Diceros bicornis minor: one gene and its partners. The protein of the gene in region 1 interacts with the protein of each later gene in a pairwise test. Links are inferred from orthologs where the notes say so. Each region holds a gene or a part of one and is shown in the gene's direction. Other genes may lie near its edges.

Region 1 (7,405 bases):
CCAGACCCCGGCCCTAACCACCACAATCAGTGGAGGGAGCAGACCAGGCTTCTCATTTTGCCTTTACCACTTACCAGCTGAGTGACCAAAAATGAGGCCCTTTCCTGCTCTGGGCCTCAGTTTTCCCGTCTGTGCAATGGAGAGACGCTGGCCGCTGGGCTGCACTTCGCCAGTCTGAGTCTGTGATTCTATCACCCCGTAAGCTTCTGGCGCTGTGGGCTTGAAGGGAGAGGGGGTGCGCCTGGGATGGTTCCACTGTGGGGAGGAGGTTGCTGGAGGGGGCCTGGACGTGGAAGTCCCGGTGCGGAGCGGTGATGATCACATGATCACACTGGCCTGGGAATCAGGAGACCTGAGGTCCAGGTCCACCCCTTCACTCACCCACCAGATCTCTCTGCCCCTCTGTTTCCCCATCTGCAGGAGGGGATAATAGTCCCAGCTCCCAGGCCCTTGGGAGCATCCAGTGAACTCACAGATGTCCCTGTAGGAGGATTCAGCTCTGAGCAGAGGCCAGGAGTGGGGTGGGGTGGGGCAAGTTGGAGGTGAGTCCTTGAGGTTGGGGGTCTGAGGGCCCACAGGAGCCCTGGGGAGTGTCAGCAGGGGAGGCTGAAAGGAGCCACTGTGGGAAACAGGAAGGGGGCCCTCTGGGGTGGGCTAATTAAAACCCCAGGCTCTTCCAGACAAAGCCAGCGGACTCTGAGTGGCCATTCTTCTGGGGAAGAAAGAAGACTGAGGGCCCCATTAAGGCCTTTCATGCTGGGACTGCAGAAGTCCACTTACAGTCAGCACTGTCGTCTCCTCTCCTCACCCCACACCCTGCCCCTTCTTGACTCCTTCTGTGGGAGCCAGGCCTCTGCCTGGAGTTTAAACCTTCTGAAAACTGCAGGAGGCTGAATCAGGGAGGCAGCTGGGAGTGGAGGGAATCCTGGGAAGGCAGTAAGGATCTGGTCCTGCTCTGCTATCCTGGGCTCAGTTTCTCCACCTATAAAATGGGAGTGCTATCCAGCCCTGACCTGCTAAAATTCACTGAGGTTTTCAGACTTTCTCCGTGGAACTGAGATTAGACCTGGAGAAGCCTGAGCATTAGGAACTACTGCCTCCTGCCCTGCCACTTACCCCCATGCTGCTGCCCTCCCTCCTGGGGACCTGCCTGCCCACCTAGGCACCAAGATGCATCTGAGTCCAGGTATGGTCATCACTTCTCACAGATGGAATCCAGATAAAATAGCCAAAAGAACCAGTTCTTATTCTTTTCTGCACAAGCAGAAGCTGGGTTTGGTTTGTCCATCAATTCATTTATCCTTCCATTCATTCATTCATTCATTCATTCTATAATGCTTTAACAGTCCTCCAGGCACCAACCCCTTGCCCAGCTCTGTCCTGGGCACACAGACATGATCCCTGAAGGGATGTTCAGTCGAGTGTGGGCAAGTCATCATTTGAGACTGGAGAGGGAGGTACAGAGTGTGGCAGAGGAGGGAGATACTACTCTGGCGCCAGAGGAGGAGCCTTTTAGCCCGTCTGGAGGACATCAGGTGGGGCTGGGCAGTTTGGGCAGAGGAAGCAGCACCAGCAAAGGCAGGGAGGGGAGACAGGGCAGGCCTGGCCTGGGGCAAAAGTGAGCCTTCCCTAGGACATTATGCTGAGTGAAATAAGCCAGTCACAAAAGGACAAATGCTTTGTGATTCCACCCATATGAGGTGCCTAGAGTAGTCAGGTTCATAGAGGCAGAAAATAGAAGGGTGGTTGCCAGGGCTGGGGGAGGGGAAATGGGGAGTTGTTCAATGGGCGTAGAGTTTCAGTTTTACAAGATGAAAAGAGTTCTGGAGCCTGGTTGCACAGCAATGTAAATATACTTATCACTATTGAACTGCACACCTAAAAATGGCTAAGCTGGTAAATTTTATGTTATGTATATTTTACCACAATTTTTAAGAAAGTAACCATACACACCCACCAAAAAAATGAGCCTTTCCCAGAGACTGAGTGGGGGAGGGGAGGCTAGCAATGGGAAGCGTGGGGGCATCAGCTGTGGAGGGCCCTCAAAACATGCTAAGACCAACACAATCACCTCAGATCCTCTGTAGAAATGTGGAGGGAGGGAAAGAAGGGAGCAAGGGGGGAAGAGGGAGGTGTTATCTTCCAAGCTCAGATAAACAGACTGGGAAGAAGGGTTGTGTACATGGGACCGGCTTGCAGGGGTGGGGGCTGGGTGCAGTGCACAGAGGTTGGCCCTAGGACAGAGAGACTGCCTTCCATCTTGTAACATCTCTGGGGGTGATTTCACACATGCAAGGGGAGAGGGCCACTTTTACTGAATCACTGAATCTCCAAGACCTTAGACCTAGCAGAGGCAAACCATGGCCTCAGGACCTAGGCTGGTGGGCCAGGCCTAGCTGTTGAGACAAAGGTTTCCAGGGAGCCTCTGGAACCTCTTCCCCAAATGGCCAGACTGTGGCCTTTCCCGATATGACTTAGAGAATTTCAGACTGCCGGTGCTGTGGGAAGACTTAGCCACTCGACTTCCACCCATCGTGCAGATGGGGCCACTGACACCCAGAGAGGGAAAGGGATCTGCAAGTCAGGTGACTAGAACTCTGGTCTTTTAAAGCCTGTTTGCCTCATTTTCTCCTTGGGGGACCTGAAGACACTGAATCGCCATCATTGCAGAGGAAGACTCCCATATACATTGGGGCGCTTAGCTGGGCTGGCCAATACCATCTTTAGACTGGTTATTTCTTACTTTATGAAAATGACGCATTCTACTCAAGGTGACTTCAAGTGAACTCTTTTGAATGAAATCTATGCTGTCCATAAATGTACTCTTCAGACTCAGAACTGTACTTCTACAGTCTTAGGGTACAGAAGCCCCTAATAGTATGAATTTCAATCTCTGAGCCAGTCCCAGGACATGTTTAGTAGGGGAAAGTATAGATGGACTTAGAATATCTAGGTTCAAATCTCAGCTCTGCTTCTTGCTAGCCACGTGATCTGAGATTCTCTCAGCCTGAGATTCTTCACCTGTATAATGGGGATAATTATGTTTACCTCACAGAGCCATGCAGAGTGCCTGGCACTCAATAGCTGCTCAGTGATGAGTATCATAAATGATGCTGATGATGATACTGGATAATGATGAGAATGATGATAGAGGTGATGATGATGGAGGTGATGGTGGTGATGATGGTGATGGTGGTGATAGCGGTAGTGATGGTGATGGTGGTAGTGGTAGTGGTGGTGGTAGTAATGGTGATGGTGATGGTGGTGGTGGTGGTGGTGGTGGTGACTGATGGTGATGGTGGTAGTAATGGTGATGGTGATGGTGGTGGTGGTGATGGTGATGGTGGTGGTGATGGTGGTGGTGGTGGTGGTGGTGGTAGTAATGGTGTTGGTGATAGTGAAGGTGGTGCTCATGGTAGTGATGGTGATCGTGGTGATAGTGGTGGTAGTGGTGATGATGGTGATAGTAGAGATGGTAATAGTGGTGGTAATAGTGATGATGGTAGAGATGGTTCTTACTAAGGAGTGTCTAGAATCTCCCCTCCCCAACTGGGTATCAGCAAGACCCAGGATCAGGAAGGATGGGTTCCAGCTTGACAACTCTTTGGTATGAGAAGCTCTGGGCTCTCTGTAAAGTGAAGCTGTGCCCCATATTGTGAGTTTTAAATAAGAAGGTACACTGGTTCCAGAAGCAGGTGCTAAGGGCATGCTCCCAAGGAACATACACTGTCCCTCTCCCCTTGAGATCCCATCCCCATCCAACTCAAGAACTCTTGGGAATGAACAGGCATGTGGAGACAGGCTCTCCCGAAAATTGGACGTCCTGATTACCCCATACCCATGTGCTCCTCACACCAGTTCTCCTCATCCCTGACCCTGCTCTAATTTTTTCCATAGAACTTATCATCTTCTAGCATATATTACAATTTACTTATTTTCTATATTTAGTGCTTATTTTCATCTGTTCCCACCTACCTCCCCCACTAGAAGATAAGCTTCAGAAGTGCAGGAAATCTTTGATTCACTGCTGCATTCCAAATGCCTAAAATAGTGCCTGGCACATAGTAGATGCTCAATAAATATTTGTTGAATGAACAAATGCTAAAAGGGACAGATCAATGGCTGCCTTTGTTACCCAGGACAGAATCAGCTTCCTGGCTTGTTACCTGGTTTCTCCCCAAACAAACAGAGAAGGGTGGGGTGTGGCCCTGAGCACCCAGCGTGTGGGCTTTCAGACTGGGCCCAGGCTGAGACTGTGGGCAGGAAGGGGCAGTGCTCAGCCCAGGGGGGGTCAGTCCCCGATATGGCCATGGCCTTCAGGGGGCCTGAACCCTGGGTCCCTGCATCCCTGCTGAGCCAGAGGCTGAAGACCGAGGAGAAGACACTGGACCTGGAGTTCGAGGTCTTGAGTGTGGGGTTTAATGAGGAGGGCAGATACGCCCTGCGGCTGTCAGCTGAGAACCCCCTGCAGGCCAGCTCTGGGGCTGGTGTGCAGCTGCAGGTAAATGATGGGGACCCCCTCCCCACCTGCTCTGCTGTCACCGATGTCATTGAGCAGCAGGACCCTGGCCAGAGCCTCACCCTCACCAGGAACAAGTTTATCTTTACTTTGCCCAAAGGTATGAAGCAAGGGTAGGGTTTGAGGGGAGAGAAGGACCCTCCAACTCCTGCCCCAGCCCTGTCAGGGACCCCAGGGAGCCTCAGGGACACCGGGAGGGGCAGCATCAGAGCTCTAGACTGAATCCCAAAGCTCTGCCTGTGTGATCTTGGGAAAACGCTGGCCTTCTGTGAGCCCCTTCCTCCGTCAGTGTGACATGGGGACGCTGATGCTGGTCACAGGGTTGGGTGAGGAGGAAGTGAAAGGACAGATGACGAATGGCTTTGTGAATTTACAAAAGCTAAGCACACAGCAGGTGGGGCCAGTCCCACTGGACGTCACACTGAGTAACATTAGAGCCAGCACCCTGAGTGCCCAGCCCTGAGAACCACTGGACTGTGAGTATGGAGGGTGGACAGAGAGGTGGAGACTCGGGCCCTGCCTTCAGGAAGTTTCCAGATCAGGTGGAGAGGCAGGAATCCCAAACAGAATAGTTAAGTGATCTGGAAGGAGCAGAAGATCCACGCCTAGACTATGAGGCCATCCAGGCAGGCTTCCTGGAAGAGGAGGGATATGAGGGAATGGGGAAACCAAGTCCCAGGCCTTCCGGTGACCAGAGATCAGGGACAGGTTGAACTCTTCCCCAGAACCATCTCACAGGCTAAGAGCCCCCCTCTCCCCCTTCAGTAAAGGGAGCCAGCCGTGTGTGGGGCCTGAGAGGGGGTCACCCACCGGGGAAATCTTAGCCAAGCCTGACTTCAAAGCAAAGGCCAGGCAGCCCAGGTTTCCCGAGGGCCCTGGCTGTCCTCCCTATCCCCCAGGGGAGGCAAGGAGACCCCATAGACTCTCTGACCCCGTGTTTCCTCACCAGGGTTCTGCAAGAACGATGAGCAGCACGACGCGCAGCTGAGGGTGGAGGCACTGAGGCTGTGCGGGGCCTCAGGAAGTGCAGCCCAGCGCGTGGGCGAGGCCATCTTCCCCATCTATCCTCGCCCAGACCAGCCCCGCATGAACCTGTCGGCGCGGGAGCACAAGGACCTGTACCGCTACTGCGGCAGGCTGGCTCTGCTCCAGGCCAGCGCGGACCCCACGGCCCGCCACTGCGGGGGCCTGGCCTACAGCGTGGCCTTCCACGTGCACCGGGCCCCTCAGCCTCCCTCCTCCAACTGCTCTCCGGGCCCGGGCCAGCCAGAACCTGTTTCACCACGCCCAGAGCCCCAGCTGGCCAGGCTGCAGGTGGGTGACCTGGGTTCCCGCCCAGGTTCTGGCATCACTGCTCCCGCTAGTAGAAGACCCAGCGTCTCTGATAAGACTGGCTGTCCCCAGGCCCTCACTGAGCAGAGCAGCGGAACTTCCCTAGGTTGCCTCAGTCAGTTCCTGAGAAAGTGCAGTCTGAGGATGGAGACAAGGAGTCCCGGTTTGAAGGGAGAGAAGAAAATGGAGCAGAGACCACACAGAGCAGGGACGCCACTGGGTAGGGTTTCTTTTGCCCAGTGGATGAGTGTCCCCTGAGACTCTTCAGCCCCAAACTCAATCTCACACGTTCTCACCAGGTTTCGAGGGAGGCCCCAAGTGATGGTGAGATAGAAGTGCCCACCCTCCAGCCCCTTCAGCTCCCACCACAGCCAGGAGGGACTCAACGCTGACCCAGGACCCTGGCAGCCTCAGGCCCAGGCGCAGGAGTCTAATCCTTGTCCAAGCTGTAGGAGGGTTCCCCAGTGTGGCCATGTTCTGCAGCCAGGCAGTGTGTCTGGTGGGCCTCACAGCCAGTACAGGCGGAAGCTAGTAGAGCAAGTAGTAGCCCATTTCACAGGTGGAGAAACTGAAGATCATCCCCAAGGATGCTTGATTCCATTTAATGCCAACAACATTTCCTGGGGACCTTAGTGCACAGTAGTGTATGGAATCCAAAGCTATGTAGTCCCTGGGCTCAAGGTGCCGCCTGACGTGAAGACAGTCAGGCACAACGTGGGCACCATATGGTCCTGTAAGGCATGTGCTAGAAGGAGAGCTCTAGTGAGGGAGTGTGTGGATCCGATCTTACAGCCTAGCAAAGGCTTTTCAGAAGAGATGTCATCTGAGATGAATCTTTCATTCGTTAGTTCATTCACTCATCCATCCATCAAACATTTGTTAGGTGCTGACTCTGTCAGACCCCATGCTAGGTGGGTGAGATTTAGGGATGGCAATTCTGGGCTTTAAGGAGGATATTCCAGGAGGAGGGATAAGAATAAGCTGACTGAGGGGAAGGCTGGCAGCAGAATGATCTGAGGTTGAAACCAAAGGTTTACAGCAGAAGGTGCCTGGCTCTTCTGCAGTGCCTGCCTCCAGCAGAACGTTGGTCTGGGGCTGAAGTGGAGCCCGGGCTGGTGGGGGAGTTGGGCTGGGAGAGGGCTGATGGGTGGGGGAAAGTATAGAGAGTCAGGGGACAGTGGCAAAAGAGCTAGGTGGATATTCAGTTTGAGAGGCGATGGGGGACCACCAGAGGGGTTTGTGCAGGAGAAAGACATGATCTGAGCTGTGGTTCAGACAGAGTGATCTGGTAGCATGTGCCAGGAGAACTGGAAGGACGGACCAGGGACCCAGGGACCAGCTTCTCTTGCCCATTCATTCATTAGTCAGTCAATCAACAAATACTTTTCACCACCTACTGCATGCCCAGCTCTGCTCAGTGCTGAGGATACAGTGGTTGACTTGTGAGTGAGAAGGATGATACCTGGGTTCCTCCGTGACATTCTGTTCCCTCAGACTGCAAGCTGCCTGACTTCGGGGGCTGGGCCCTGGCCCCTGTCCTACGGTTTGTCCCGG
Region 2 (8,019 bases), on another chromosome or scaffold:
GATCCAGACGCTCAAGAGCCTGAGGCATGAGCGTCTCATCCGGCTGCACGCGGTGTGCTCCGCCTCCGAGCCCGTGTACATCGTCACCGAGCTCATGCGCAAGGGCAACCTGCAGGCCTTCCTGGGCAGTGAGTGTCCACCCCTGCCGCAGCCACGACCCCCGGGCCCATGGGTGACGATGACACCCGCCCCCTCCCCCGCATGGGCCTGTGACGGTGCACCAGGCATTTTTGTTGGGTGCTCGATTGTCCAGGCCCAGAGGGCTGTGGTGGGCTCTGGCCAGCAGGAGGTTCGGGGCCCTGGGTCTGCGTCAGGCCTGGGCCTTGTGGAGGGACAGTCAGGTCTTTGCGGTTCCAGGCTGGGCAGAGTGCAGGCGGGGAGGGCTGGTCCCCAGCCCCGAACAAGGTCAGTGTGGACCCAGCCCAGCCTGTGCCCCTCTCCGCTTTGGCCGTTCCCTGTCCCTGGTCTCCACTGGGGGCTAGGCTGGGTTAGGGAGCAGCTGGCACTGAGCCCACACAGCCTTGGCGGGTGCTGCTGTGCTCCCCCACCTTAGGGAGGAGGAAACCGAGGCAGAGAAGGATGTGATGGGTGCAGACACTTGCCCCTGTCGGTCTCGCCCCGCAGGCCCTGAGGGCCAGGCCCTGAGCCCGCCCCTCCTGCTGAGCTTTGCCCGCCAGGTGGCCGAGGGCATGAGCTACCTGGAGGAGCGGCGCATCGTGCACCGGGACCTGGCCGCCAGAAACGTGCTTGTGGGCGATGACCTGACCTGCAAGGTGGCCGACTTTGGCCTGGCTCGGCTGCTCAAGGTCGGTGCTGGCTGCTGACCCTGCAGGGTGGCAGAGCGGCTGGGGGGGGAGGGTGCCACTCCGTCTACCCCACCCTGGTCTCCCCTTGCCCAGGACGACATCTACTCCCCAAGCAGCGGCTCCAAGATCCCCGTCAAGTGGACGGCGCCCGAGGCGGCCAACTACCGCGTCTTTTCCCAGAAATCGGACGTCTGGTCCTTCGGAGTCCTGCTGTATGAGGTCTTTGCCTATGGCCAGTGTCCCTACGAAGGTGGGCCACGAGGCAGCCCCAGGGAGGAGGCACACCCTCCCCCGGGGGTCGCTGACCCTGGAAGGGAGGGCAAGAGGCCTCAAAGCTTGGCAGGGTCTGGCCAAGGGCTGGGGGTAGGTCTCCATGGTGACCCCCAGGCAGAAGCAAGGCAGCCCCTGTCCTCGGCCCCCTCCTCAGGCATGAGCAACCACGAGACGCTGCAGCAGATCATGCGAGGGTACCGCCTGCCGCGCCCGGCCGCCTGCCCCGCCGAGGTCTACCTGCTCATGCTGGAGTGCTGGAGGGGCAGCCCCGAGGAGCGGCCGGCCTTCGCCGTGCTGCAGGAGAAGCTGGGCGCCGTCTACAGGCGCCTCCACCCTGCCCTCACGTGACCCAGGCACTGGACGCTGGGCTGGGGTCACTCCTTCCCGCCAGGGCGTCCCCCCGGGATGATGTTTACCATCAACACGTACAGGGTGCCAGACGGCCCATCACCAGCCCGCAGAGCCTCTGGCTGTGGGCCTCACGCCCTGACACACACACTGACACACACACCTGTGTGCACAGGAGGCAGACACACGCAGACACCCACTCAGACAGGGGAGGGGCTGACGCCCTCTGCCCTAAGTGACCAGTGTCCCTGGCGAAGGATGAACTCAGCACAGAAGGCCAAGTGGAGCCCGAGTTTGCTCCGGCCTCAGGGAGAAGCCTTGAGCCTGGGCTGCGGTCCCCCTGCCCAGGCCTGCTGCCCTGGGCCTGCTCGACCCCCTCCCAGGGTCAAGAGCGAGGGGTGGGAATTCCCAATTTTCCCCAAAGTCCCCGCATGGCCTTGTGGAAGCAGTGGTGCCAGGGCTCCCAGGCAGACCGTGGGAACTGGCCCCACATGGCACATGCTGGGCGTACGCTGGGGCGTGGCCACTGCCTCCCACGGGCACACCGTTTCCCGTGTGTAGACCTGAGCACACGGGAAGGCAGCACTTAATAAATACGTATTGACTGACTCAGACGCAAGCAGACATGGCTCACACATGGGCCTCAGCCCCCTGAACCAGAACAGGAGCTGGAGCTGGTGGGGTGGGCCCCCAGTTGGTTTACCCTGGCAGAGGGAGAGCTAACCCCCGCGTGGCCCAGGCCCCCACCCCAGGGCATCTTGGCACCCAGAGCAGGTTGACCCAGAGGCAGCACTACCCCTGGGCCATGGGCAGGACTCAGGTGTCAACAGCCCTTTCCGTCTCCCTGGGGCTGGAGCAGAGAGATCGGGATGGGATTGAAGAGGTGGGGGACTGGGTCAGGCCACGGGAAGGTCAGTGGTGGCTGCGTGACCGTTTTTGGGGGTGTGTGACCCTTGAGGTCAGTTCTCTGGGGATGGGGCAAAGGTGAGAGAGGCAGAGTCTGCCTCGTGGTGCTGGTCCTGGTGTTGCCCTGGCTGTGCAGGGTCAGGCGGGGTGGAGGTGGATGCTGCTGGGTGAGGGCTACTGGGTGATAGCTGGCTCTCTGGGGAAAAGGAAGCAGCCCCGATGCATGGCCTTTGGGGTCTCCAGGGTGTGACTGCTCCCGCCGGGCTGAGGAGCCGGGTGGGACGTGTGCTGTTGGTTCTTGCTCAGCCTGCCTGGCTCCCGTCACCACCAGATGGACAATAGAGGGGCGGGGGGCAGGGCAGATGCGGTCTGTGTTTGTGGTCCCTGACCCCCACCCTCCTGGGAGCCCCACGCTGGCAGCTGTGCCCCAGAAGGCCTGTGGGGACTGAAGGGGCAGACCACGCAAGGCCGCCCTCAGCTCACTGTTCCCTGGAGGGAACGGCCGCTGTGTACGGTTTAGGGTCAGCTCTGGGCCCGCTGAGGCCAGTTAGCCCTTCACTGCTGACCCCAGGCCCTGCCCATGGGCTGGCACTGGAGGAAGCTGGGACCCTTGAGTGCAGATAAATGACCCTCCCTGGGGCCACTCAGATGCTCTGAGAACAGTAGGGACTTCCTGGAGGGGAGGGCGGTGGGGGCACCGCAGGTGGGGGCAGCACAGAGGGATGAGGTCACGTCAGGGCCCAGACCAGCCTGGCTGTGGCCCAGGGCCGAGTGGGGAGAGGGCAGGGGCCCCTTGGAGTCTTGGGTATCAGGCTGGGGCTGGTCCCGACCCAGACGGATGGTGGGGGCAAGAGGGTTTGACCTGAGCCCTTTGACCCCAGCAGCCTAGCCGAAGCTCTGCCTTGGCCTGCAGCCCTTGACCCCCTCCATCCTGTCCTGGGAGACCTGAGGGGCCAGCTCTGGCTCGTAGGCTGAGAAGGTGAGGGTTGGAGGTGAGCTCTTGGGTTCTGGGTGTTTCCTCAACACACGAGCAGCAGTGTGGGACCAAGGGGCTCAGCCACCAGATGGGCATGCCTCTGCTTCCCGAGCTGCAGTGCGAGCCAGGGGAGCTGGACGGGCGCCTCCAGGGAGGGAACGTGCTGGGCTTGGCAACCGGCCAGAGAGGTGGGTGTGTGTGGGGTCACTGCCTCATTCCTGGGGTGTCTCATCAGCCACAAGCTGAACAGGTTTAGTGCTCGGGGCCCCTGGGAGGGGCCGGGGACTTTCAGGCTTGAAACTCTCCTGCTTCCTGGTGCCATTCAGGCGGAACCTGGGCACGTCTGTGCCCCGCGACATGCCTTGGCCCCCTAGACATGGGGTCCCGGGCTGGCCCAAGGGCTGAGGGGACAGGAGCGTGTTGGTGAGCAGTGAGAGGCAGGTTGGGGGCACCTGGGAGCTCCCTGGGCCCCAACATAGGGCCCAGCCGTCCCTCTCGCCCCCTCTGATCTCTCCCCACACCCCCTCTGCTGCCCCTTCCCCACGTGGGGCAGAGCTGAGCTGGGCTGCCCATCGTCTATGAACTTGTTGAACGACACATGTTTGGGTCCGGAATCTTGGAGGGAGTGAGTGGTGCCACGGCTGTCTCTTCAGTCAAAGGGAAAGTGCCAGCACGTAGGGTTTAGTATGTGATTTTCCCCTGGTCACTTGTCCTCACGGTCCTCCTGGCATGGGGGCCGAGTCCCTACACCCCCTCTCTGCAGATCCCTGCCCTCCTGTCCTCGGGAGCCCGGCGCACAGGACAGCTCCCATGGAGCTGTTGGGTGGGCTCCGTGGGGGAGGGAGAGGTGCCCAGGACACAGGACAACCTTCGGGGGTGGGAAGAGAAGCAGCCCTCTGGGGGGCTTCTGGCAGTGACTCTGCTAGGAGCTTGCTGTCCGTCTGTCTGTCCGGATCAGTCCTGGCAGCCCTGGGAGGTGTGGGAAGGAATGACTCACCCCTGGGCCTCCGCCCCTCCCCTCACCCTTCAGCTCCAAGACTCACTCCCCTTGGGTTCCACTTACACCTGAGCGCCCATCTGTCTGACCAGTTGCCCTGCCCTCCCTTCCCCTGGGCTCAGGTCCGGCCATGTAGCCTGGGGCGCCTTAGTGGCTGGTTGGTGCACAGGTTTCCCATAGCAGATGTGCAAGAGTGGTACCCAGGCTGAGCTGGCCGCAGTGGGTAGGAGGACAGGTGGGGGCTGCCGGGGCCCTTAGGGTGGAGCCCAGGTGCCTGAGGAGGCCCGGGAGAGCCCGTCCCCAGTGGGCACGGGTGTGGCCAGCCTGACCTGGCAGCCTCATCACAGGGAAGTGGGCCAGCTCCTCAGCTGGGCGGAGATGGCCTGTCAGGGTTAGCACCGCCTGCCCGTCCTGCCAGCCAGCGTGCCGGCAGCCAGCAGAGTGACAGGTGGCGAGGCCAGGTGGCCAGGTCCTGCCGCTGCGCCGGCAATGGCGTCCCAGGGCCAGGTGCACCTGAACCCCGAGTACGTAGGCCTCTGGGACTTTGAGGCCCGGACAGACAAGGAGCTGAGCTTCAGGGCAGGTGACCTCTTCCACGTGGCCAGGAAGGAGGAAGAGTGGTGGTGGGCCATGCTGCTGGACGAGGCGGGCCTGGCCCTGGCCGAGGGCTACGTGCCCCACAACTACCTGGCCGAGAAGGAGACAGTGGAGTCTGAGCCGTAAGTGTCCCTGTGGGCCCTGTGGGTCACTCCAAGGTGCCCCCAATCCCTAGGCCCTGCGGCTCTGCGAGAGCTCCAGGCAGGGCGGCGGTCGGACAGAGCTCCGTGCCAGGTGGTCTCGGGGGAGGGGCAAGCGTGCTGGGCCGGCCCCTGGGAGGCCGGTGAGGGTGGCGACCCGTGGCTCTGTCTCCCTGTGTTCCCCAGTCAGGACTGGACCCCACCGTCCCGGTCCTGGGAGCACTAACTGGGCTTTCACCAAGTGTCATCTGGGGATGGGGGCATGTGGCCCCTCCCCTGGGCTCCCCACAGTCACTTCGTGGTGCCAGGACCCAGAGAGGACAGAAGGGTCCGCAGTGGGCTTCCGGGTGGCTGGCCGACAGTGATGAGGTCTGCGCGGGGGACTGACACAGGAGCATTGGGCCTTTTGGGGAGTGAAGCTTCACTCACCTTCCAAACAACTGAAACCAGATGTGTGACTCAGAGGGAGCGCTCCAGAAGGTCGTTGCGACATGCTCGTCCAGGGCGTGTGCTGAGGCATCTGCTCCCTGTGCCCTCGCAGCTGCCCTGTCACTGGCAAGGTGGCTCCCAGAGGCGGTGGCCAGCTCTGAGGGGCTGCCTAGGAAGCTTAGACCACAAGGCGCAGCCTGGTGAGGGCGTGTCCACGGCGCCCTGAGGTGGTTCTTCCGAGCTCTGGGCGGGGTGGGTCCAGGAGGGACTCCTGTTTCCTGCCTGCACTCCCGTGATCGTGGTGGCTCACCAGCACCCACGTGGACTGAGCACCAGGCTGTGCCGGGAGAGCACGAGAGCATGTGTGGGTTACTCCCACCGCAGGGAGATAAGCAGCAAACAATCACAGTCATAAAGAGGACAGTTTCAGAAGGCGGGGTCCCATGACAGGGATACTGCAGGGTGGGCACGGCTGGTGAAGGCCCCTGAGGCCCTGAGAGCCCAGCGCATTTGAGAAGCAGGAAGGAGGCAGGGGGGTTGGAGGGGTGAGCAAATGGGAGAGACTGGACAAGTGCTGGATCGGTCAGGGGCAGAGTGTGGACTCCCAAGGTGCTCTCACGGGGCAGTAGCCTTCTGTGCAGGTGCCCAAGTTCCAAAGGTGCCTGAGGGAGTCGAGGTACCAACAGCAGAGCAGCCGGCAGCAGGGGTTATGTGCGGAGCTCTGAAGGCCCCACCCTGCAGTCCAGAGTCAAGGGCTCATCCATGCCCTGGTTCTGGGAGCTGGTGTGTGCAAATACGTGTGAGTGTGTGGGTGCATGCATGTGTGTGTGTGCATGCGTGTGAATGTGTGGGTGCATGCGTGTGTGGGGTGCATGTGTGTATGTGTGGGTGCATGCGTGTGTGAGGTGCATGCGTGTGAACATGTGGGTGCATGCATGTGAATATGTGGGTGCATGCGTGTGTGCGAACGTGTGGGTACATGTGTGTGTGCATGCGTGTGAACATGTGGGTGCATGGATATGGGCATGCGTGTTAACGTGGGTGCATGCATGTGAATGTGTGAGTGCATTGTGTGGGGTACATGCGTGTGAACACGTGGGTGCATGTGTCTGCATGCATGTGAATGTGTGGGTGCAGGCGTGTGTGTGTGGGTGCATGCATGTGAACGTGTGGGTGCATGTGTGTGAACACGTGGGTGCATGTGTGTGTGCATGCTTGCAAACGTGTGGGTGCATGCATGTGAATGTGTGGGTGCCTGTGTGTGTGTATGCATGCATGTGAACATGTGGGTGCACATGTCTGTGTGGGGTGCATGCGTGTGAATGTGTGGATGCATGAGTGTGTGTGGGGTGCATGTGTGTGAACATGTGGGTGCATGCGTGTGTGAATGTGTGAACGTGTGTGTGCATGAGTGTGTGTGGGTGCACGCGTGTGAACGTGTGAGTGTATGTGTGTGAACATGTGGGTACATGTGTGTGAACGTGTGGGTGCATGTGTGCGTGTGTGGGTGCATGCATGTGAACGTGTGGGTGCGTGTGTGAACACGTGGGTGCATGTGTGTGCATGCTTGCGAACATGTGGGCACAGGCGTGTGTGGGGTGCATGTGTGTGAACGTGCAGTTGCATGTGTGTGTGGTGCATGCGTGTGAACATGTGGGTGCATGCATGTGAACATGTGGGAACATCTGTGTGCATGCGTGTGAACATGTGGGTGCATGTGTGTGAACACGTGGGTGCATGATTGTGAACGTGTGGGTGCATGCGTGTGAACACGTGGGTGCATGTGTGTGAATGTGTGGGTGCATGTGTGTGTGGATGCATGCATGTGAACGTGTGGGTGCATGTGTGTGTGTGGTGCATGCGTGTGAACACGTGGGTGCATGCATGTTAACGTGGGTGCATGCGTGTGAACGTGTGGGTGGGGTGCATGCGTGTGAACATGTGGGTGTATGTGTGTGAACACGTGGGTGCATGATTGTGAATGTGTGGGTGCATGCATGTGTGTGGGGTGCATGTGTGTGAACGTGTGGGTGCATGTGTGTGTGGTGCATGTGTATGAACATGTGGGTGCATGTGTGTGAGTGCAAGGGCATGTGTGCATTGCCTTTCTGCCTAGATGCCCAACCCAAGGTCCTTGGAGCTGGAGCCCAGTGTCTGTGGCCCGGGTCACAGGAAGTGGTCCCAGAATCACAGAAGGATGTAGTCCCACAGGATGGGATGGCACGTGTCTGGGACGGGAGACATCTGGGCAGGGTGGTGGGAGCCTGCTTCACCTCTTCCTGGTCACGAGGGCCTTTCCTGGTGTCCATAACTGGCCGTTTGGGGTCTATGATGGGCAAGGAAGGGGCCTCTGGGTGGGGGACACTATCAGAGGGCAGCTGTGGGTCTTGCTCGGGAGCATGAGGAGGCAGAGGGTCAAGTAAGGGTGCTGGGATTCAGGGTGGGCAGGGTGGGGGTCAGCAGGCTCAGGAACCACCCCCCCCCCAGGTGGTTCTTTGGTCGAATCTCCCGCTCAGAAGCCTTGCACAGACTGCAGGCCGAGGGCAA
Region 3 (7,940 bases), on another chromosome or scaffold:
TCCCAGTTAAATTTGAATTTCAGATACACAATGAATAATTTTTAAGTATAAGTATGTTTCCAATATTGCATGGGACATACTTACACTAAAAAAATTCGTTTGTAATCTGAATTGTGTGTGTGTGTGTGTGTGAGAGGAAGATCAGCCCTGAGCTAACATCTGATGCCAATCTTCCTCTTTTTGCTGAGGAAGATTGGCCCTGGGCTCACACCCATGCCCATCTTCCTCTACTCTATATGGGAGGCTACCGCAGCATAGCTTGACAAGTGGTGCGTCAGTACGCTCCTCAGATCCGAACCCACAAATTCCGGGCCGCCGCAGTGGAGCACGCAAACTTAACTGCTACGCCACCGGGCCAGCCCCTGAAATTCAAATTTAACCAGGCATCCTGTGTTTTACCTGGCAATGCAAGATCCTGGGGGGAGATAGCCTCTGTCCTGGGGTAGCTGTGACTCTTCTATGTGGACAGAACAGTAACTCTGAATGAAGAAAACACTGAGGGGTGATTGGAAGAAACAGGGAGAGGCTGAGAAAAGTGGAAGACAGGATAGAGAAGGGAGCTGCCCAACCCCTTTATCCAGACCATCACCTCTGAAAGCAGCCCTGGGGCTGACTGGAGGAACCTCTTAGCCAGAGGGACATATCCAGGGGTCTCTCCGTGCCAGGCTCCTGAGTGGGACCTCCTGTCAATTACGGTGCCTCAATCCAGCACAAGCCTGGTATCTGAGGTCCAGTTCAGCTGGGGCTGCAGCAGGAATAGAAATGAACAAGGAAAAACATATTTATAACTTCTTAAGCAAGGAGGGAAAAAAAATGCAGAAGCCACAAAGGAAAAAATTGATTGCTAGATTTCCGATAACATAACAACACAGCTTCTGACCGCAAAAGATACCATAAATAAAGATAAAAGACAAATGACAGATTGGAAAGAAATATCTGCACCATATGTAATATCCAGAATATATAAAGAGATCTCATAGTCCAACAAGAAAAAGAAAAACACTGTAGAAAAGTGAACAAAGGATAATGTGATGGTTAGATTTACGTGTCAACTTGGAGGGTGTTTTTTGATGAGATTAACATTTAAATCAGTGAATTTTGGCTAAAGCAAATTGCCCTCCATAATGTGGGTGGGCCTCATTCAATCAGTTGAAGGCCTGAATAGAACAAAAAGACTGGCCTCTCCAAGCAAGAGGAAATTCTCCAGCAACTGCTTTTAGACTTCATCTGCACGATCAGACTCTCCTGCGCCTCCGGCCTGCTGGCTCACATTGCAGATTTTGAACTTGCTGGCTTCCATTGTCACGTGACTCAATTCTTTTCAATAAATCTCTTTCTATATACACATCAATTGGTTCTGTTTCTCTGGAGAACCCTGACTAACACAGATAAGAACAGGCAATTCACAGAAGAAATACATATGCAGAATAAGCATAGGCAAAAATGCTCAACTTCCCTAGAGGTCAAGGGAATGCAGATAAAACAACCAGGAAATATCTTCTGTCATTAGATAAGCAAAAAAAATTTTTTAACTGGCGTATCCAATGTTGGTGAGTATATGGGAAATAAGTTTCCCAAATAGTGTGACTGGGAATGTAAACTGGAAAAATTTTCAAGACTGGAGAGGAGGTCCTCACTGAGCACCAGTTTCCTCATTGCATAGAAAGGGGGTTGAGCTAGATGAGGGGCATTAACATTTCAAATGTGCATACCCTTTACCCAGCAGTGTTACTTTTACAAATTTAACTCCCACATGTACACTCAAAGACATGTTCACAAATATTCATTGTATAATTGTTTTTGCAGTGCAAAAAATTGGAAACACATAAAAGTCCATTAAATGAGACGGGTTATGGCCAGCCCCAATGGTGTAGTGGTTAAAGTTCTGCGCTCTCTGCCTTGGAGGCCCGGGTTCATTTCCCAGTCTCGAAACCACACCACCTGCCTGTTAGTTGCCAGGCTGTGGCAGCGGCTCACAAAGAAGAACTAGAAGGACTTATAACTAGGATATACAACCATGTACTGGGGCACTGGGGAGAAGAAAAAAAATGAGACTGGTTAAGTAAACTACATAACATCTATAGCATGGAACACTTGGCAACTGTCAAAAAGAAACTGATAAATAAATTAAAAGACATCCCATGTTCATGGATAGGAAGACTTAATATTGTTAAGATGGCAATACACCCCAAATTGATCTACAGATTCAGTGCATTCCCTATCAAAACCTCAGCTGTCTTTGCAGAAACTCATCCTAAAATTTGCATAGAAATTTGAGAGGCACAGAATAGCCAAAATGATCTTGAAAAAGAAGTTGGAGGACTCCCACTTCTGTCAATTTCAAAACTTGCCAAGCAGCTATAGTAATCAAGACAGTGTGGTACTGGCATAAGGGCAGACAAATAGATCAATGGAATAGAACTAAGAGTCCAGAAATAAACCCTCACATTTACAGTCAATTGATTATATCAAAATTAAAAATCACAAGGCCTGGCCAAGGGGGCTGGGAGGGCTTAGGGAACGGGGCAAATGAGGATAGACACTTTGATGTCAAATCTCTTTGTGACTCTGGAAGTTTGTTTCTTTTCAGTCTTTCCTATTCACAAAATGATACTCCCTCCTTAAAAGCAAAAAGCAGAGGGAGAGAGATTCCTGAATTGGAGGGTTTAAGGACGCTGGAACATTTCTTGAGGAATGTGGGAGATGTTCTGCAGTCCTCGTGGGAACTGTACCCTCTCCACTGAAGTGGAGGTTCCCTGTATCTAGTGTGAGAAGCTGTTTAGTAACTATATTCCACATTTCCTTGCCATAGTGATCAGAGTAACTGCATATGATTCAAGTTCTTCTGAATGCTCAGGTTCATACTTTGACTATTAACTACTGTCCTTTAAGAGTAATGCTGGTAAGGCCCATTGAGTCTTCCAAAACTGTTTCCCCCTATACTCAGTGTCCCCGGGATGTTGGGTTTCTAAGTTCTTCAGTCTGCTTTTTACAATTTTTCCTATTAAATGCTTTCAATCCTTGCTAAACTCAAAGTGATTGCTTCTAGAAACTTCCACCCATACATCCCCTGATCTTTCTATAATCTACTTTTACTGGGAAATCAGATGACAACGTTTATTTAAAATATATGAAATAAGAGAAAAGAGGCTCTGTGGGAGGAAAACTTTGAGTTCTTTCATGGAGAAAGTTTCTGATCCTTTAGAGAGGGTTTCTCAACCTCAGCACTACTGACATTTTGGGCAGAATAATCTTTGTTGTGGGGGCTGTCCTGTGCACTATAGGAAGTTTAGCAGCATCCCTGGCCTCTGTCCACTAGATGCACCTCCCCCCAGTAGTGACAACCTGGAACATCTCCATACACTGCCAAATGTCCCTGGTGGGCAAATCACCTCTTTAAGGATTTTGTGATACTTGTTTCAGTCACTCTAGTTTTTTTCTTTTTCTGTGTGTATTTTTTTTCTTGTTCTGTGTAGTTCTGATTAATAGGTACATTTATTGATCTGCCTAACATTTCATGAAAAGTGTGTGTGCGCGCGCGCGCGCGCGCGCGCGCGCGTGCATATGAGCTTCGTCAATAGAAGCATAAGCTGTACCTTCTTGCCTCGGGATACAGAGGAAAGAAAACATGCACAAATATTACTAGCCTGCAGAATAGTCCTGATTCTCGGCAGGAGCCTTATCCACTCTCTGGACCTTCTCTGGCCCCAGGCTGAGCACTGCTTCCACTCAATTCCTCAGCCCTGCCACTGCTTCCCTACCCAGACTCCCACCACCCCTGAGCGTGGCTATTTGTTCCCTACCCCAGCCTCACTCTCAGCGCTCTCCATCTACTCTGCATAACCAACACTCCCCTTCCTTCCCAGGCACCAGGCTTTCTCTGGGCCTCTCCTCTCTCCCCGTGCATCTCCTATCACTCATCTCGGCCTGGGCCAGGCCCTCTGGCACTGAGCAGTCTGCCTCCTGTTGCTGGCTAATCTGTTCTGTGTGGTACATTTTCTCTCCTCACCCGACCTGTCAATTCCTGGAAGGCAGGGCCGACTGAAACTAGGAAGCCACTTCCACTATGCACCCACCCCAGCCCAGCCTTGAGCCAGACACACAGCAGCTCCTCAAGTCCACTACACTGAACTTGGCATTCAATCCCTGCCCAAGGCTGCCCTTCCCATCTGGTTTCCTAACGCTCCTCCCATCACCCCCTGTCCAGCCACTTCTCCAACCTCTCCCCACCTGCCAGTTAAAATCCTCCCAGACTCAGCTCAATAAGGTGCCCCCAAGGTGGAACGAAATCTCTTCTTCCCCGCCTAGAGCCAACCTACTACCTCTTCCCATACACATCCATAGCACTTGGCACACGCCCTTGTACCTTAAATTAGATTTAATCTGAGCCTGTCTTCCATTCTCCACCCACCCACACCCTGCTGCGAGCACCTCGAGGAAAGTGCCTGAGGGCTGTTCATCCTTGCCCTCACAACTCTCCTTCCATCCTCTTTGGGGCCTGGCCGGCCAGCATTTAATCTGAGTTTGTTGAAGAGAACAGAAACAGGATGCGCAAATGTCCCAAATCCAGAAGCGGACATCCTGTAAACGCCCTTGAACGCACTCTCTAAGGGGCAGCTCCCTTGGCTGTCAATGTCCCCAGACAGACGCTACTCCATCTCGGGCAAACTCTACCAGGCGCCCACAGAAGGCGGGGAGGCGGGCACCCCCATCCCGGCGGAGCAGGCTAGGGCATCACATGCTTCTCCAATCACATGATCCCTGGAAACAGGGAGTGACGAGAGAGAAACGAAGGGAGGGAGGACAGCGAATTGAGTAGGAAAGAAGCACCGCCTTCCAGCCTAGCCCCGCCTCTAAGCAGGCGCGTAGCCAATGGTAGCGCGACACCCCGGGCCGGCTGGCCAATGGCAACTGAGGTGGGAGGGCCATTGCGCTGCGAGGCCCAAGTCCGTGAGCTCCCGGGCTCCTGCTATCCAGGGAGCGCCGACCCTGACGCAGGTAGGGCGGGCGGCGGCGCCCACCTCTCGCTTGCTCCTTCCCAGGGGCCCGCCCAGGGAGACATGGAAGCTTAAGGTTCCTCCGGAGTTTCAGCCAGGAGATAAGGGAAGAGTCGCTTAGAGAGTTTGGGGGATTTGCGATGCACTGGAGGGAGTTTTATGGGGGGTGGTAGTAAGCAGTAATTGCAGTGACCCCCACTAGAAGGGAGCTCTCTCCCCTCCAGCATCCCCGGAAGCTGCAGCCGCTTCCTCAAAGCAGGGACCACTCCATTCTTGAGCCGGTTCCTCCCCCGTGGGCAGGTGCTGGTGGTGGTGGGTAGTCCCCGCGGCAGCTGGGAGCGAGAGAGACGCCCACCCCTGGTCCCGGAGCTCAGAGGGCTGGGAGTGGGACTTGAGACCCTGGCCTCCTCAAAGGTAGCAGGGGCTTGGGAGTGGTGACTGAACCCCTGGGTTGTGTCTGGCTCTCCCTTACTTCCTCTCGTGGGGGGTGGGACAAGCTGACTTCCGCCTCTCCCTGCCACTTTTCCCTGCTCACTCGCAGTTGGGTTGGCTCACTTTTTGGGAATCTCTCTCCTCCTGGCAATCGGAGTTGGGGGGTGCCACCTAGTGGAAGATGACGGAGGTGGGGGCTTGAAGAGGCTCCTGTCGTCGCTCTCTACTGGGGCAAGGTGGGGTGGGGGTGAGAGAGGCCTCCACTCAGAACCCTGTTGAGAGGAATTAGGCCTCTCCTCCTCCATCCCTGGTCCTGTGTGTGCATGTGCGGGCATGCGTATTCAGTAGATGCATACACTATACTCCCTAACCTCAGGATACCCAGGAAGGAAAATATACATACATAAATCACTAGGGTGCCGAATAGTCCGAGGTCTGTGCAGACACGCATCGCTTCTTGCCTAAGCCAGGGCAGTGAGACAGCCTGTGGAGGGTCGAGGTTGGACTCCCAAGAAGTGGGTGGGCCGGCTGTGTATGCCTTGCCTGTGAGCTGTGGGCATAGAGGAGAGGGTGAATGGGGCTGTGGCCCAGGACTGTTCTTCTTCATCCTTACCTGGCCGCGAGATGGCTTCCTGGTGATGGTCTTTGAGCTGGGGAGGGGACCCTGAGGAAAGCCAGGCGAGGGAGAGGGGATGTGAGGGCCTGGGCCAGTGCGATTCCCTGCCACACACTGTGTGCTGTGTCCACACACAGACTCGGTGGGGAACTGAGGCCCGGAGATAGGGAGCAACTTTTGAGGCGCTCTCGGTCAGTGGTGGCAATTCTAGGACGAGGACCCAAGTGCAGTATCCAGGCAGCCCCTGCACTCCCCATGTCTGTCCTGCCTGGTCCACCTGCCCAGGAAATGCCTCTGTCACCTTCCTCTGCTTGGACCCCAGGCCTCTTCCCTCCTGGGGTTTGGGGTCCATTCCCGGGCACTGTCCATCATGCCACTTGTGAGGTGAACCCAGGTCCAATATGCTCTGGAGCCATCAAAGCTTGTCATCTCCATGACTTGATATGTGACATGAGCATGTTACTTAACATCTCTGAGCCTCAGTTTCCTCCTTTGAAAAGTAAAGGTAATAATTACTACTTTGGATGGTTGTTGCAAAGAATAAAGAAAATAGAGTGTTGTAACTGGCTCCCAAGGGGTTCAATAAACATATTTGGTTTTGCCCCTCTAGGCAGCGTGACATCCCCTGGACCTGCCCTATTCAACCAGCAGGGTGGTGGCACTTGGGGCAAGAGTTGTAGGAAGTGAGAGGCTGCTCCCCCCCCCCGGAGAGACTGAGGCTCGGTTCCTTCTGACTGGGATCTGCAGTCAGGTGGGCACATGTGGTCTGTCTCTACCTGTGGCTGAGTTTCGGCTCCAGGGTAGGGGGAGACGCAGGGGTAAGAGGGTGGTATCTTTGGGGAGTCTGAAAGGGCCTGGTGGTGTTGGGGGTCCTTAGAACACAGGTGTCTCAAAGGCTGACCCAGCCTCTGTGTCCCCTTCCCTGGGTGGGGAGGGGACAGTCAGTGGGTGGGCTGTGGCTGGCCTCTGGGGAAGGCAGCTGAGACTCCACTGGCCACTGCACTTCCCTTTTCACAACTTTCTCAACCCTATGGTTTCCCATGTCATCATGTGACCTCCCCTCCCCCGCCAGCAGGCCTTAGCAGGGTGCAGGTGTGAGCACAGTATTGATTGAGGAGGCATCTGAAGGGGCTGGCTGCGGAAGTGGAATCCTGGCTTTTCTTCCGGGGTGGGGGACTCCCTCCTTGCACCCTAGCCCTGTCCTCCTATGGCTACTGATGCCTTCCCCACCCCCCACAGGTGGCCCACATCCCCACAGATCAGACCCACAAAACTCATAAATCTTCCTATCACGTGCCCACATCTCTACACACTCACCCACAGAGACTCAGGTGTTAAGCCACATGGTGGGGACAGAGATTCACACGTGTACTCGTCAGCATTCATGCTCATGGGTGTACCTGCGCTGGTGCACGTGTGACACACACACAGGACATATGTAGGAAGCTGAGTCTCAGGCCCCACACTTTCTTGCTGCCTGGACAAGGAGTTGCTGGGGAGGCTCAAGTAGCCCTGGGCCTGGGGCTGGGGAGTGACTGGCCCCAGAGTCAAGGGTGGCATGGGCTTAAGCTGGTTTCCAAAGGCCTCTTGTTACTTTGCAGGCAGACCATGTGGACGCTGGTGAGCTGGGTGGCCTTAGTGGCAGGGCTGGTGGCTGGAACACAGTGCCCAGATGGTCAGCTCTGCCCTGTGGCCTGCTGCCTGGACCCAGGAGGAGCCAGCTACAGCTGTTGCAATCCTGTTCTGGTGAGTGCCCTTCAGCCCACGCCAGAGCTTGTATCATGGGATTTCCCAAAGGGGCATCTTGGATTGGCCAGAGGAGGGGGACAGGCTTGGGTCCTTCAGTTTATCCTCTCCTCTCACTTCCCAGGACAAATGGCCCACAGCACTGAGCA
Region 4 (7,871 bases), on another chromosome or scaffold:
TAAGTTGGCAATAAATATTCATTAAATTTACCTGAATGTAAAAAGATAGAACTGTTTATCCCTCACAAACCAGTTTACCCAACTTTTCTGATATCGGCACCAACATCTTTGCAGCAACCCACATCCAAACTCTAAGTAATGCAGACTTCTAACTGTGCTTCCTACCTCCAGGCGTTTGTGGGACATGCGCCAAATGAGGTACCCTGCCGCCAAGCCCGGATGATGTCCACACGTAACTACTATCTCCAGGTCTTATCTCCTCAGGATCCTCTGCAGGCATCCTCTGCTGCATTCAGGCAAATGAGGGCATTCCCTGTTCCTATGGAGTTCTCCCACATTCCCCCTCTCTGTCGTCACGGTTCTAAGCATCCTGTACTGGGAATTTCCTCTCTGTCTTCAACTTTCAAAATCCTATAGTTTGCATCATTCAGAGGTTTTGGTTGCAAGAAAGGGCCTCTGGCTACCTTAAGCAGAATAGGAATTTTTCAAAGAATAATAAGTAGCTCACAGCGGGGCTAGAGGAGCTAGGAGAAGGGGCGAGAACCAAGCAGGTTAATGACCTCTATGGGGAAGTTCTGGGATTCTTCCAGCAAAAGCTCACTGAATCTCATCCTCCCTCCTTTTGGCCACCCTCTCCAGGTTCAAAGTCCCGGGTGGGAGGGTTCTATTGGCCAGTCCCAGGCTGTTCACTCTCACAGGGCTTCTGGGAGTGGAGAGAGGGAGGAGCCTACTCTGCCTCCCACCAAGGTCAGACAGGGGCCTTCCTAAAACCAGTAAGGGGGCTGGATGTAGGGCAGCCAAATTATAGTAGCTTTCCAGGTGTCATCTCTCCAGGTCCATTCCTAATGCCTCCAGCTTTCATAAAACCTACAGCCTCTTCTGATTCTCAGAACATATTTCACTTGGTACTTTGCATATTTAGCTTTATATTATGGTATTTGCATACTGGTCTTGCCCTTCCTGTGAGATTAAAAACTCCACTTACCCTTGTTTCTTCTGAATTGACTCTTATAATGCATTACAAATAGAAATATACTAGAAATGTTTAACTGTACTGACGGTTAAGATAGAAGGTCATGGAAAAGCTGATGTGAGTATTTACCATGTGCCAAACCCATAGTTGAGAGATGTTTACATGATCTCATTTAACTTTCACAACTCTTTATGAGAGCACTATTACTACCCGAGGCCCGGAGAGGTTAGATGATCCCAAGTCACAGGCTTGCAGGCAGGCTGTGGGCCTCTGAAGCTGGACTCAGACAGCGCCCTCAACCTTAGCTTGTGTTCTCTGTGACTCCAAGGAGAGGGTTAGAGGAAGGCTTGCATGGAACTCTGAAGAGGAGGGGGATGAGAAATCCCTTGCTGTGTCCCCAGTATAGGAGGTGGAGATTAGTGTGACTAAGTGGGACACAGTGGGGAAAGCAGAGGGACTGAAGCAAGTAGCTTATATTAGGGCAGGGTAAACAACAAGATTGTTAGGGCAGGACTAAGTTCCAGGGACTTTAGAAGGGAAATCTTAGGATTTAATGCCGATGTGATTTGGGGGCAAAAGTTTATACGTTTTGCACTTTCAATACTTCATTACTGAAGAAATTTCAATAGTAAAACAAACATAGATATACTAATGGAGTAGAATGCAGAAACCTCTACATTTTTAGATAAACCATCAGCTTCAAGGAAATGTCTCGCCCATGCTGGGTCTTGTAGTGGGTTGAACGGTAGCCCCAAAGGACATGTTCACCTGGAACCTGTGAATGTCACCGAATTTAGAAAAAAGGTCTTTGTGGAAGTTATAAGGTAAGGATCTCAAGATGAGATCATCCTGGGTTAGGGTGGGCTCTAAATCCAATGATAAATGCCCCTATGAGAGAGAAGGGGAGAGGAACACAGGGGATCTGGCGTGTGAAGACAGAGGCAGAGATTGGAGTAATGTTTCCACAAGCCAAGGGACACCTGGAGCCACCAGAAGCTGGAAGAGGCAAAGGATTCTCCTCTAGAGCCTTCTGAGAGAGCATGGTCCTGCTGACAACGTGATTTCAGACTCGCCTCCAGAGCTCTGAGAGAGTAAACTTCTCTGTTTCAAGCCACCCAGTTTGAAGTAATTTATTAAGGCCGCCCCAGGAAGCGAACATAGGCATCTTAGAGCTCAATTCTTCAGCCCTCCTAGGAGCAAAGGCTCAAGTCCTTTGCTGTCAGAGGACTTTTGAGGAACTGTGGTGAGCCGTGGGGAGCCATGGGAAGTTCTTGAAGAGGGGAGGGGCAAGATAGAAGCAATTTTTCTGAGAGTTAGGAAGACACTGATGTTCAGTATGAATCTGGGGGTGGGAGGAAGTGAGTAACGGGAGGCCACTTGGAAGGCAACGGGTGCAGTGGAAAGAATGGGAGTTTTGGAGGTGAGTGTGTGCAGTTCTCACCCAGCTCTTTCACTTACTAGTTTAGTTTTTTTATCTGTAAAATGAGGATAATACCATCATGTGTGAGTTACAGATGATATATGTAAAGAATTCAAAAAAGGTACACAAGTATTATTAGTAATAAGGTAAAATTTGGATGGTGACATTGGAAATGGAAATGAAGGTACCATCAAGAGATGTTTCAGAATCACCAGGACTCAGAATCATGAGGATGTATGAGATCATAAGAGGGATCCCAAGGTCACCTAGGGTCCTCTCCTGTCTTTGGGGAAAGCTTGGAGAGAGGAAGGGAAGAAATCAAATTGCAATGATTTTTTCTTTCAGAGCTGAGATGCCTGGTAGACTCTTGGCCAAGCCTAAGACCGTGGGAGGAGGAGCTGGTTTAGGAAGCAGGCAAGTTTCATTCTGAATCTGGTGGTATTGAAGAGAGGCTGAGCTGCTCAGAGGGATGGCAGATAAGCTGGGGAGCTCCCTAAGGCTACAGATCTGGGAGTTAATCACTGAATATCCAGACTGGAAGCATACAAAAAATGATCAACTCTCTTAAAAAAAAAAAAAGGTGCACATCAGGATAAAAACAAAGGGCCAAAGTCTTTGGGATATTACTGTTAGATGCTGGGAGAACAACATGGCCTACAAGGAACAGCCATGGGCAGGTCAGAAAGGTAGCTGTTAGATAAATGAAAAGATGACCACATTTCAGGAAACAGCAGAAACGTTATTAAGATAAAGGTTGAGAAACGGACATTGGGTTTCAGATAGAGAACGTCCTTGGTGACCTTACAAAGAATCAGAGACGGAAGAGGGGTTCCAGAACCATGATTCAATGAAAGTTTACAAAGCAGACAAGTTAAAAATCAGGTCAATGTTGTTATACTTATTTTGAGTAAAGTAATTTAAAATTGGACCAGACCATTTACTATAATTCTGCTTTTCTTATTAGTAAGACAAAATCTTCACGAAAGGATGAACTGAGGTAGCTTCTTTCCCAAGTCAAAGAGAAGGAGGCTGTTCTGATTCCCTGTTTTTTGACCCATCCCTGCTCAGTGCCCTGCACCTCCTTCCAGCTAGTGACCTTCCAGCTAGTGTGCCAGGGACTTACAGCAGAGTGAGGTAAATACTCTCTCTCCATTGGCTAGATTTTAGAGAGGTTAAGAAACACCCGTGCAAGGTTCCACAGTTGAAGAAGCAGATAGTCCACACCCTCAACTATGACTTCAAAATTATACTGGCTCTAGTTACCCTCCTTCAATACTTCCTTTCGGGAACAAGGCAGGGGTGAGCCATTCAAACGACACGGCCTTGTCACCTTGGATAAACTGTTATTGCCTTAATAATAATGAGAAGCCGGGAGCCTAAGAAAGAATCTCATTAACATGGATCCAGGCTATTCCGCCAGGAAATCAGAATCATTTGGATAGCAGGCTTCCCTTTCCGGAAGGCCATATGGGAAGGAAGTTGGAGAAGAGACATCTGGATGCATGGGCCTGTGAAAAGGAAACTGTGTCTTTCCCCTTACAATTGGGTTTTAATCTTCCAAGTTTGTTCACAGGTAAGCCACCACGTGTGGCGAGGTGACCAGACCAGTCCCACTACTAGTGACCACTCCTTCTGGGGCCACGTTCCCGCAGCTCCTTACAGGACTGTGCCCCTGTGGGTGAGCCTGAGCTGGACACGACGCAGGGGAGGCAGCTGAGGTTGGGTTCCTCTCGTCTTAAGAAGTGCTTCCAACAGGAAAGATGGAGTAAGAGTGTCTGGTTGGGAAAGTAAATAGATACAAGGCAAATAAATAAAAATGCTCACAAGCAATTACAGAGAGGAAGTGACATTTTTATGTAAGTCACTTTTCTGATGGACAACAGGCCTGCTTTGCTCAGAGTGCCGTGGGAATGCTTCCGGGAGGGGGGCGGTCGCCAAACAACTAGAGCGCCGTGATAAGAAAATCAAACAAAAAGAGGATGGACAGATCACCCACCAGTCCTTTCAGGGTGGAAGTTGCTGTCTTTATTTCGTCTCTTGTCCCCTCACCCCTCCCCGACGCCTACTCCCCGTGCGAGCAGTTTTGGGAGCGGAGACCCGTTCCTCCCCCTGGCGCCCGGGTCTCCCCGGGGCCGGGCGGCCGCGCGCCCCCCAGGCAGGGCATGCGGAGCCCGGTCCCCTCCGGGCGCCGTTCCCGAGCCCGGCCGCCGCGCGGGCCCGGGAGCTGCCTGCACGCCCCCCGGGGGGTCTCGGGCCCCCGCCGGCGCACGGGCCTGGGCCGGCCCCTGGGCGGTGTCACGGCGGCCGGGGAGGAGCGGCGGGAGGAGGAGGAAGAGCGCGGAGGGGCGGGCGCTGCGCGCCGGGGGAGGGGTCGCCGCCGCCGCCGCGGAGATCGTCAGGCCGGAGCCGCGCGGCCGAGCGGGCGGCGGGCGGCGGGGAGGACTCGGCGGCGGGGAGGCTCGGGCGCCCGGGCCGGCGGGGTCCGCCCGGCCGGCAGCGTCCGCCACGCGGCGGGAGGAGGGAGCGGCGCAAACAAAGAGCGGCGCCTGGGCGGGCGCGGTGCGGCCGCCGCCCCGGGACCCGCGCCGCTGCCCTCCGGCCTCGGCGGGCGGCCCTCGGCGAGGTAAGCGCGGCCGGCCGGCCCGGGGCGGGGGCCGCCAACTTGGGCCGCTCGGCAGAGTTGGAGCGCGGCGGGGCTCGCGGGGCGGGGCGCGCCCGGGAGGAGGCTGCGGGAGCGGGTCCCTCGCGCCCCCCTGGTGCCCTCGGCCCCGCCGCGGCCTGGCCCCCGTGGCGGCGGACTGCCCGCGCCTCCCGGCTCCGCACCTTCCCGCCGCCCTCCCAGCCCCCACCCTCCGGGGTCGGCGCTGGCGCCGCCAAGGCAGCGGCCTGGGCGCGGGGTTCCGGGACCAGAGACCCCGGGGCGCGCGGGGAGCGCCCGGCCTGCGGGCCGGCCGCGGGCGCGGAGCCGGGGGCCGGCGTGGGGCCGTGCGGTGGCCGAGGTCGCCTGGGCGAGAGTCCCCGGGAGGAATGGCCGGGGATCGCCCGGCCCCAGCGCAGGGACGCGGGAGGCCGAGCGCAGCCCGGAGAACTTACTGTGTTTATTGGACTGTTTATGACCCCGCACAAAGCTGCTGTCACATCGCATAAAGGAGGTCCTCGCCTCGGCGAAGGGCGCTTTGTGCCGGGTTTCAGGCTCTGCGTCCTGTCCCAGATTTACAGGACTCTCTTACAGCCACCCGAAAGAAAGTTTCTCACAATCGCTCTGCCCTCTTGGTTTATTCAGAGTGATTTAACTACCAAGTGGTTCTGGAAGAATTTGGTGTGTGACTTTTAAGGTATTGACGGTAACTCCCTTGTGAGCGCAGTTATCGGGGCATCGTGTGGAGGGGTTTAATTTGCAAAGCGCTTTCATTTGTAAACAGTAACGATCGCCTTGGAAGGTCCACGCGGGATGCTGGGGGTCATTGGCTGACGAACACCAGGCACCTGACTTTGGCCCTGTAACAGCTTCAGGGACAAAGCAGGAACGTGTGTGTAGTCGGCCTCTGTCACTTCGGACAATTCAGGTTGGCAATTTCTCCTTTATGTGGCTTTGTTTATTTTGCCGACAGGTTTAGGGCTGAATCTGCAAAGTTTGCGTCTGCATAATGGGATGAGTAGGCCCAAGGGCTGGGCCTGGGGAGCCTAAAACATCGCGCATGCCTACTCCTTCGATTGACTCCCCCCAAAAAGACTGAACCCCGAGAGGCCCGTGGGCATGGCTTCCCGCGGACCCACAGGTGTGGGAGCTCCTTCCTGGTCTAGGCCCAGTCCGGCTTTTCGGAAGGAAGGGATTTTGGTAGGAATGAGAGTAATTTGGGGTGTGTTTCATACCACTGCATTTGATATCCTTAGCAACAGTGCTTTTCAAGTGTTAAAGTGACTGAAAATGAAATTAACCTGGGCTGCTTTAATTTATCAAAACATCTAAACTTTGCTACTGAACACTCCCTTAGTTCACTTACCCAGTGTTGGTAGATAAACGGGTATATTAGTAACAGGACTAGAGCATGTGTGGCGTTTATATAGAGAGAATGGTGGTCAGTGGGCAGCTGGAGAAGTGGGCTTCACCGGGAGAGTGGGCTGTAGATGAAGGTTTTTAGGTATTTGGAACAGGGCTTTCCTGAGAAACCAGTGTTAATCATGCTTGTGAAGAAGTGACCACCAGGGAAAATCCTCTCTTAGTGTTTCTCTCCTGGAGGTTGGTTAGATGTACTTTTGATTGAACAAAGTGGCTGGATCTTAGCGATCTTCTGGCTGCAGCTCCTTGAGGCTGAAATTGAGAGCTGTAAGCAGTGGTAAGCTTGTGGAGGTGCCCAGCCCAACTCAGCTTCCTCTCCTGGAGGCCTCACCTGGGCCGCGAGCTTCTCAGCTGCTACATAAACACTAACAGGATTGATCCTGGAACGCAGGATGACATTGAGTCACAAATTGCCACTGGAGAATTGACTGCTCCCTCACCCCCTCTGCCCACTTGTGGAGAAACTGGCCCTTTTAAAATGGGCGGGGCTTGTTTAAGATGCATTTCAAGTAGCTGTACTCAGTTTTCCAGGCTTTGTGTTTTGCTTTATTACATGCTATATACTTAAATTCTCTTCATCCCTGATCTGTTTGACCCTGTCATATTCCCAGCTTCTGTCATTTGCATTGGGGGATTATTGAAGTTTTCCAAGAAACAGTAGGTCTTAAGTACACAGTGTTTGGAAACGCGCTATCATCCATATTAAATACACCGGAAATCTTCCTTGTATGTGCACAAACTGGATAACCTTTCGAAATACCCTAAAGACTCCCTGATTGCCCGGAGTGACCTGGAGTCCTTTACTTGATCACTTGCGTTAGCTTCATTTGCCCTGGCCATGAGGCTGTGTTGCTCTCTGGGACACACATGCTTCAGTGTGCACTGGGGGAGAGGGGGCTCGTGGACACGGTCCTCCAGCATTAAAGATGAGGCTGATTGACTGAAGAGCTGAAGATTGCTTGCTGGAACTGCAGGGCAGGGCGGTGGATGATGTTTGGGAAAACTAGTAAGCTAACTTTTTTCACAAATGAACTGGAAACTCCCCACAACTCATCCAAGAGGCTTAGGAAATTAGTTTTCCCATCTAGAGGGATTGCAAGTGGTGCTTCCAAATTGTTTCTCTTTCTTAGGATGAATGATTGAAACCTTTCATGGCATTTCAAAGGGCCTAAGCTAAAAATCATATCATGTATGTTGTTAAATGCTTGAAAAGCAGCTTAGAAGAAGGTCAAGACAGCCTTTTAATGGGTTATCAAAAGTATGCAGCTAAAGTAAAAATAGTTTTTTATTTCTTTAGGCCATTTAGTAACACAGTTTAAAAAATTAGACTATTTTTTTCTTTTCCTGCATTTCACTTTGAATGGATCCCAAAGTATGTATATTTCTGAAGGTATAATCAACATCAGCAAGTTATACCC

Evidence for each region.
Region 2: the proteins of CCDC33 (region 1) and PTK6 interact in a two-hybrid assay, tested with the Homo sapiens proteins (2 studies listed by BioGRID and IntAct). The two-hybrid records come from large-scale screens. The link is inferred for Diceros bicornis minor from reciprocal best matches to the Homo sapiens genes CCDC33 and PTK6.
Region 3: the proteins of CCDC33 (region 1) and GRN interact in binary tests that used the Homo sapiens proteins (3 or more experiments, as listed by UniProt). The two-hybrid records come from large-scale screens. The link is inferred for Diceros bicornis minor from reciprocal best matches to the Homo sapiens genes CCDC33 and GRN.
Region 4: the proteins of CCDC33 (region 1) and NCK2 interact in a two-hybrid assay, tested with the Homo sapiens proteins (2 studies listed by BioGRID). The two-hybrid records come from large-scale screens. The link is inferred for Diceros bicornis minor from reciprocal best matches to the Homo sapiens genes CCDC33 and NCK2.

What each region holds. Positions count from the first base shown.
Region 1 is NC_080744.1:67,225,465-67,232,869, forward strand, and holds the start of CCDC33 (coiled-coil domain-containing protein 33), read left to right. Parts: upstream 1-4,303; coding exon 4,304-4,619; intron 4,620-5,468; coding exon 5,469-5,833; intron 5,834-7,405.
Region 2 is NC_080758.1:663,316-671,334, forward strand, and holds the start of PTK6 (protein-tyrosine kinase 6), read left to right. Parts: upstream 1-4,768; 5' UTR 4,769-4,795; coding exon 4,796-5,025; intron 5,026-7,959; coding exon 7,960-8,019. Other genes in the region: tyrosine-protein kinase Srms, read left to right, coding at 1-128, 625-806, 900-1,056, 1,234-1,427. UniProt on the Homo sapiens protein: Non-receptor tyrosine-protein kinase implicated in the regulation of a variety of signaling pathways that control the differentiation and maintenance of normal epithelia, as well as tumor growth.
Region 3 is NC_080757.1:42,918,519-42,926,458, forward strand, and holds the start of GRN (progranulin), read left to right. Parts: upstream 1-4,927; 5' UTR 4,928-4,998; intron 4,999-6,655; 5' UTR 6,656-6,796; intron 6,797-7,646; 5' UTR 7,647-7,653; coding exon 7,654-7,791; intron 7,792-7,915; coding exon 7,916-7,940. UniProt on the Homo sapiens protein: Secreted protein that acts as a key regulator of lysosomal function and as a growth factor involved in inflammation, wound healing and cell proliferation. Regulates protein trafficking to lysosomes, and also the activity of lysosomal enzymes.
Region 4 is NC_080779.1:7,989,403-7,997,273, reverse strand, and holds the start of NCK2 (cytoplasmic protein NCK2), read left to right. Parts: upstream 1-4,834; 5' UTR 4,835-5,016; intron 5,017-7,871. UniProt on the Homo sapiens protein: Adapter protein which associates with tyrosine-phosphorylated growth factor receptors or their cellular substrates. Maintains low levels of EIF2S1 phosphorylation by promoting its dephosphorylation by PP1.